Diceros bicornis minor: one gene and its partner. The protein of the gene in region 1 purifies or fractionates together with the protein of each later gene. This does not show direct contact. Links are inferred from orthologs where the notes say so. Each region holds a gene or a part of one and is shown on either strand. Other genes may lie near its edges.

Region 1 (3,742 bases):
GTTTCTTGTGCTATTTTATCATGTGAACTGTTTATAAAAATATATATTAAAAAAGTTGTAAAAAGACGTGTCTGAGTTGTTTTTAGGTCATCAGCCCATGGCGGGGAATGGTGTCTCTGCCCTGGGTGGCCCAGTCTCTGGATTCTTGTGCGCCTCTCAACTCATCAGACTTACTGGTCCTTTCAACAAACATGCAGAGGCTGGGTGCCACTGTGCCAAACTGGAAACCCAGCAGTGACCAACACAGAAGGCTTCTAACCTCTCATTGCTTAAAGGGGGAGAGACAGATATTAAAGTCTTCACACAGAATATTTCCTCCAAAATTTCTAGGATTTAGCCCATCCTTCCAGAAGGGCAAAAATGAGCCCTGTTTCATGCACAAAGTAACTAAGAGTAAGAGAGGGGCAGGGATGTCCTAAAAGATCACAGGGCAGCAAGGACCGACCAGGACTCATGCCCAGGAGAGGAAGGGAGGCTGAGAGAGGGTCACTGACTGAATGGGTTGCGTGAACAGGTCGTGTCAGGCATGGAGCCCTTGGATCCCTGCCTGGTGGAGTTCACACTGGTGTGCGACAATAACCAGTAAACAAAGAACAGTTGTGACAAGCGCTGCGGAGCTGACAGTGAGTGGAGAGGCCCCGTTAGATGCGGTGACCAGGGAGGGCCTCTGAGAAGGTGACACGCAGGCCGAACCCCGAAGGGTGATAAGGAGGCGCGGTCCGGAGGAGAGCGAGCACGGCACGCTCAGCGGCCTCGAGGCAGCACAGCGGGCGGGCGGGCGGCAGCCGCCGCGGCGAGAACGTGCCGGCAGAGACGAGGCCGCGGCTTTGGGATTCATTCACAGCGCGGCGGGGACCTCGGGGGGCCTTAGGCTGAAGAGCGGCACCTGGGTGCCGGGCGGGGGTCAGACGGGGGAACGAGGGACCAGGGAGAGCCGCGCGGAGACTGCTCCCGGGGTCCACTCCGAGGAAGGAGGTGGAGACGACTGGCGCGATTCGGGACTCGTTGAGGGATGCCCGGACTTGCTGGTGGACTTGGAGGAGAGATGAGCACTGGTATTAGAATACTGCGATAAAAAGACCAACCACCGAGGCGGAGCCGGGAAAGCACCCCTACCCCAGTCCTTGGACCATTCCTTCGCCTCCACCAGCACAGCTCCCAGATCCGGAACTTTCGTGGTGTGGGCGCCCGCTTCCGGCGAGGGGCTGACAAGAAACGGACCACTTCCGGCGAGGGCCAGGAAAGAGACGAGCTGTTTCCGGCGCGGTGCTTCCGGCCCGGCCCGGCCGGGCAATTTTAGGAAATAGTTCGGGTGCTGGCGGAACGCGAAGCTTCGCCGGGTTCTCAGGCTCTGTTCCCACCGCCTCCGCTCCCCCGCGCCGCCCTTGACCGCAGGAGTCCGCGCCGCCGGCGTCTCCTCTCTCCCGCCCTGCCAGACCCCTCGGGCTCCTTAAACAGCTCGGTCCTTGAGGTCCCTCTGTTTCCCCCGCGCCCCGCAGCCCTCCGCCCCCTCCCGGAGGCCGACTGTGTGGACGGTGGGGACCACCTCTCTTCCCTGCTGGGACTGAATGACCGAAGGTCCAGCGACCGTCCAGATCTGACCGTTGGGGGCATGGAGAGGTGGCCTGGGCTGGGACTGACCAGGTAAGGTCGTCCCCAGAAGTCAGACATGGGACTGACCAGCCTCAGGGCAGCCACGGCGCCTTCTCACCGCCCGGCCAGGGTGATGGAACTCGCCTATCAGACTGACCACTGAGTAACAGTGGACTGCCCTGGTCTGGCTCACCCAGAGCGACCAGCCCAGGCCTACGCAGTTTTGGGGGACCCAACCAGGGTGAAGGATCTGAACTGACAGTTCCCCCTAGGCTGACCTGGCCAGCCCAATTCACTGACCTCCTGTGCCCACCACCTGTGCAGCCATGGAGAAGATGTCCCGAGTGACCACGGCCCTGGGTGGCAGTGCACTGACGGGCCGCACCATGCACTGCCACCTGGATGCGCCGGCCAATGCCATCAGTGTGTGCCGTGACGCGGCCCAGGTGGTCGTGGCAGGCCGCAGCATTTTCAAGATCTATGCCATTGAGGAGGAGCAGTTTGTGGAGAAGCTGAACCTGCGTGTGGGCCGCAAGCCCTCACTCAACCTGAGCTGCGCCGATGTTGTCTGGCACCAGATGGATGAGAACCTGCTGGCCACAGCGGCCACCAACGGCGTGGTGGTCACGTGGAACCTGGGCCGGCCGTCTCGCAACAAGCAGGACCAGCTGTTCACGGAGCACAAGCGCACGGTGAACAAAGTCTGCTTCCACCCCACTGAGGCCCACGTGCTGCTCAGTGGCTCCCAGGATGGCTTCATGAAGTGCTTCGACCTCCGCAGGAAGGACTCTGTCAGCACCTTCTCAGGTGAGGTCCTGGGAGGCAGGTCGGGCAGGTCTGTGTCTTTGCAGGCGGCTGGCCTGTCCAGGCAGGTTGAAAAGTGCCGTGTGCATCAAAGGTCCTCAGCTGTGCTGCCAGACGGCTTCCTGGAGGAGGGGCCAGCCGAGCACTGCAAGAGTGGGTGGGGATCAGCAGGGGAGGAGAGGGGTACCTGGAGTGTGCTTGCAGCTCTGATGCACCTGTGGGGCCAGCAGGAGTCGAGGCTGGGTGTGGGATGAGGGAGAGGGCAGAGCCTGAGCAGACCACAGCCAACCTGGGTGGCCAGGCAGAGGGTTTGTTTCACTGCCTTCTCTTCCCCTGCCTCAGAGCGCCAGGCCACCTCACTGCAGGAAGTCTACCGGGTCCTCAGCCCAGGAAAGCAAAGGAGGCGGGGTTCCTTTCCCAGCAGGCCCAGCTCCCTGTTAGATAGCCTTGAGCTAGCTCTCCCTTGTTCACTTCAATGAAACCAAGTGAAGCACAGGGCCCTCAGAGGCGTGAGAGAATTGGGGGGCCTTTTAAGACAAACCCTGAGCTACCTGTGCTGAGGGAAAGCTGGACACTGCCCTCAAAGGCTCTTGGTGTGGCAGTCCACACAGTTGGGCATGGGCCCTCAAGGCCTCTCTGGTCCTCTGGGGCTGACCCAGCACCTCTAGCTCAAGGTGAAAGACTGGGCAGAGGCTGGGGCACCCGCATCCGTGCCTCCTTGGGCCTCCCTCGAGGGCCTCAGGACCCCCAGGGAGTGTGGACAGATGGCGCAGTGAGGCTCCTGTTTGCTCAGTGCTCTGATACTCAGTCCTGAAGCCAAGCCACAGCTTTGCACAACCACTGACATCAGATGCAAAATCTGGGGAAAATCGAGGTCCAGGAGTTTGTGTCAAAAACCATCCAATGCCTGGTATCCAGCTCCCTGGCCCAGGCTGTTGTGTCTGCTCTGTGAGACCTTTCCTCACCCCTTCCACCCTACGCAGTCCTTGAGGGTGTCCACTCCACCATCCAGGCCTCCCAGCCTGGGCCACAGGCAGGCATGTGACACCGGTCTACAGCCACTCCAAGGCTCCACCTTGGCCGCGCTCCCTCTTGGAGCCCCCTGTGGGGAGGCCCCCTCATCTTCTTCCTCCATTGGTGTCCGGCTCACAGGCCAGTCTGAGAGTGTGCGGGATGTCCAGTTCAGCATCCGGGACTACTTCACCTTCGCCTCCACCTTTGAGAATGGCAACGTGCAGCTCTGGGACATTCGGCGGCCTGACCGCTGTGAGAGGATGTTCACTGCTCACAATGGGCCTGTCTTCTGCTGCGACTGGCACCCCGAGGACAGGTGTGGGGTGGGGTG
Region 2 (3,742 bases), on another chromosome or scaffold:
GGGTCCAGCGTGAGGACACAGAAGCGGTTCTGTGGACTCTGGATGGGATGCACTGTGGGGCTGGGCCCTGCTAGGGAGGGACCAGGCATTGGCAGGTGAAAAGGCAACTGTGGGCTGGGGCGTCCCCTGGTGGGGCCTGGGATGAATGCAGGGTCATGCTCTACGGGAACTGGCTACAGCTTTCCCCCACCCCATCTCCCCACCTTGTGAGGTGATCATTGTCAGCTGGGCTCCCCATACCCACAGACCCACGCGCACAAGAGAAGGGCCTCAGTGGGAAGAGGAGACCCCACCCAGGTTTGGGTGTCAGAGGGCGGCCCTCACCATGCTGGGCACGGGGAAAGCCGTTGCTGGAATCAGCCCTGGCAACAGGCACAGGCTCCCCGCCCACCTCTCGGTAAATGTCGAACTCCTGGGCCAGTGTGTGGATCACCTTGGACAGGTCCTGCTCCCGCACCTGGACCGCAAGGAGATGGCACATCACATGGGTCCCCAGGCACCCATGCCCACCTGCCCTGCACCGGCGCCTGCGGGAAACTCACCAGGATGAAGTCCGTTTGGTAAGTGGACAGCATCAGCACGGACACGTGGTGCTCGGCCAATGGCGCAATGACTGAGCGGGCGATCTTGGTGACCCCAGCAGCCTGCACGGCTGCGCCGCTGTGGGATGACACATTCAGCACCAGCCATGTGGCCTCAGCCACTTGCAGGAACTCGGACGGGGGCAGCTCTGTGGGCAGGGGGCACACGCCCGGTCAGGGCCTGCAGGGTTGGCCCCTGCCCCTGTTTCCCTGTCTGTGCCTTGGAGGGCTCTACCAAGGTAAGGTCAGGTCTGGAGACTGGGGCTGTCTCCCTTCTCCAAGTCCTGCTCCTGAGACCTGCATGTATGCAAGGACTGAGAAATGCTTCAAGTGCTGGCCTGCCAGGAATTGAAACTTCCCAGTTAAGATTGAAGCTCCAGATTCAGACAGACCTGGGTTCAAATCCCAGCTTCGCCATTTACTTGCTGTTGACCTGGAGCAAATGATTCAACTTCTCTGAGTCTCAGTTTCCTCATCTGTAAAATGGGATGACAGCAGCTATCTACCTCACGACAGCGTTTCCTGGCTTAACAAGTTTTACACCATGTGACACCACTAGGGGGCGCCAGCAGATCAGGTTGGCTGGGGTATGCCCTTCCCCCTTAGCACACTCAGCCTTTCCTGCGGTACACATAGGGAAACCAAGACCTGAAGCTGTGCAGTGGGAGGTGGGCCAAGCCCCAGTTGGCTGGCCTGAGATTCCAGGCCTGTGAGGACAGGTCAGGCTGGCAGTAGTATGAGACAGATGTCAGTTCCAGGGACCTGGGAGGGACCAGGCTGGCGTCCAGTACAGAATAGAAGCCAAGGCCAGGGTGGCTGCTAATCGCCCAGGCACAGCCAGGAGGCCCCCCAGGACCTTGCCCTGGGCTCACTGCCTGCTCCTGCATTCTTTCCCCAACCCTCAGACTCCTGGACTTCCCAGACCAGTCCGGGAGGGGGGCACCAGCACTAGGGAGAGAAGTCCAGGGAGAAACAATGGCCAGTGGGGTATAAGAGCCACAGGAACCCGATTCTTGGCCAGAAACGTTAACAGAGGTTTTGCTGCTGGCCTGAGGCTGCTAAGCGACCTTCACATACAGCCCCGTTTATAAAGCCCTCATGGGACCCTATTAGATCAGAACTATAACTATATCATTTTACATAAGAGGAAACAAATAGCTCAGAGAGGGGAAGTTACTTGTCAAAGGGCACACAGCCAGTGAGTGGTGGAGTCGAATCCGAACCCAGATTCATCCGCCTTAAAGGCCCCAGCTCTTGGGATATTGGATCCCAGAATCTAGTGAGAATCCCGAAAAGACGGGAGTGCGACATCCCCTACGCCCCCTGCCCAGCCCAGCCCCACCTTTGAAGCCCTCCTCGTCCACCATGAGCGTGTAATCCTCGGGGGTCTCCGTCAGGCTGAAGAACTTGCACCTGGTTGGGAGTAGGGGGCATCTTCAGCCTGGGTTGGGCGAAGGGGGCGGGTAGACTTCGCTCCATCTGCCTGGAAAGACCCCCGCGGGGCGCCTCCCTGCCCCCTCAAGCCTCAATTTTCTCCCCAGGGCAGTGGGGTGTGGGCTCCACCTCCGGAATCTCGAATTGTTTTCCGACTCCCTACCTCCGCAGGAGCGCCCCCGCCCTTCCATTCCGGGAGGGAGGAGAGGCTCACCTGCGGCAACAGCGCCGGGGGCGTCGGACCTTGGGCCCCATAGACCCGCCCCGCTGACCAGATGGGAGGCATCTGGAAGAAGCTGACCCGATGGAAGTCGCCAGAAAGGAATGCCCCCATTTAGCACCACTCGGAGTTAAGCACTGACCAACCCAGGCTGTTTGCGCCTTAACTGGCCCTGGGAGGGGTCCTCACGGGGCCGGATAGGCGGCGGTCCCAGGGAGGGCAGGCCCAGGCGGGATGGCGGCCGTGGTGGGGGGGCTCCCCGCCGGCTCCCGCTCGCCCCGCGGCGATCCTAATCTCCCGACCCCGTTCCGGAGCGACAGTCCGCGGAGCCCACCCCCATCTGTGCCCCCGAACCCGGGCGCGCACCGGCTGCGGTGGGGCAGGAAGAGCAGCTTGATGAGCGGGTGGGTGTAGAGCCAGAGACCTGGGCGGGCGAGGCTCAGCACCCGCACCCGGTGCTCTAAGATGTGCAGCTCCATCGCGGCCCGCGCGGACCCGAACCCGCCGCCAACCAGACCCTGGCCGCGCCGGGGGCGGGGCGGGGGGGGCGGTGCCGGAGGCTTAAAGGAGCCGCCGCGCGGCCGCGTCCACGACTCCCGCTACGGCGCGTCCCACTCCCTGACTGCTACGCCTATCCGAGGAGGCCACGCCTTCTTCTGATGCCTGAGCCTGACCCCACTCTTTCCAGCCCGCAGAATCCCGCCCCTGCTGGCTCCGCCCCTTTAGCCTTGGCTCGGGGATCACCCGCTGACACCACCCCCGTCGAGTCCTCCAGGCCCCGCCCATGCCACGCCCCCTCCCAGGGCTCCGCCCTTTCCGCAGGATGCCTGCCTCGCCGGGGTCTGGAGCAAGCGGGAAGCGTGGGGTTCTGTCCTCTGGCCTCCATAGGGTCTTATGAGTGAGGTCATTGAAGCTTGGAAAGACCGCGAGGCCAACTGGGGCTCCGCTGGGACCCAGAATGCTGCCCCCAAACCCCTGGAGCATAGGGTAGGGGTCGGCTGTGCAGCCTGGGTGACCCTGAGATTCCCAGCAGTGTCCTGGCGCCTTTCTCTCTCCTTCCTTTCATGGCTCAGCATGGGGCAGGGCCACCAGAGCTGGCTGGAGTGGTGGAGACAAAAGTGGTGGTGAAGTGATGGGCAGCAAGGGCTGTCCAGGACTGGTATTGATATATACCCCTCCTTGCTTTGTGAGCCCTGCAAGTGGGCTGACAATGTGAAACCTGCCTGGCCTTGGTGGCCCCCACACCTGTTCCTCTCACCCAATTTTCAGAGTAGAAGTCTCCCCACCAGGGTCACAGAGACAAGGAGGACCCCAGCCACCTCTGTCTGAGGGGGTAGAGAGCTGAAGGTGGCCAGGCCTAAGGCTTGAGGCCCCCCTCAAGACTAAGTGCTTGGCCCAGGAATGCCCAAGCCTCAGACTTTGGGGGATGGACCCATGCATCTGGGGCTGACTGGGTACTCAAAATCTCAGACCTGAGACTTGAGCCCTGCTGAGGCCTCCTAGAGCC

What was found. Proteins that work in one complex are often made in the same cells at the same time.
Region 2: the proteins of WDR24 (region 1) and CASTOR1 purify together in Homo sapiens (affinity purification with mass spectrometry; 3 studies listed by BioGRID and IntAct, counting the BioPlex papers as one, with this or other methods). This does not show direct contact. The link is inferred for Diceros bicornis minor from reciprocal best matches to the Homo sapiens genes WDR24 and CASTOR1.

What each region holds. Positions count from the first base shown.
Region 1 is NC_080765.1:47,631,447-47,635,188, forward strand, and holds the start of WDR24 (GATOR complex protein WDR24), read left to right. Parts: upstream 1-1,120; 5' UTR 1,121-1,919; coding exon 1,920-2,400; intron 2,401-3,549; coding exon 3,550-3,727; intron 3,728-3,742. UniProt on the Homo sapiens protein: Catalytic component of the GATOR2 complex, a multiprotein complex that acts as an activator of the amino acid-sensing branch of the mTORC1 signaling pathway. The GATOR2 complex indirectly activates mTORC1 through the inhibition of the GATOR1 subcomplex.
Region 2 is NC_080774.1:23,803,571-23,807,312, forward strand, and holds the start of CASTOR1 (cytosolic arginine sensor for mTORC1 subunit 1), read right to left. Parts: upstream 2,778-3,742; 5' UTR 2,715-2,777; coding exon 2,602-2,714; intron 1,995-2,601; coding exon 1,924-1,994; intron 731-1,923; coding exon 543-730; intron 458-542; coding exon 325-457; intron 71-324; coding exon 1-70. UniProt on the Homo sapiens protein: Functions as an intracellular arginine sensor within the amino acid-sensing branch of the TORC1 signaling pathway. As a homodimer or a heterodimer with CASTOR2, binds and inhibits the GATOR subcomplex GATOR2 and thereby mTORC1.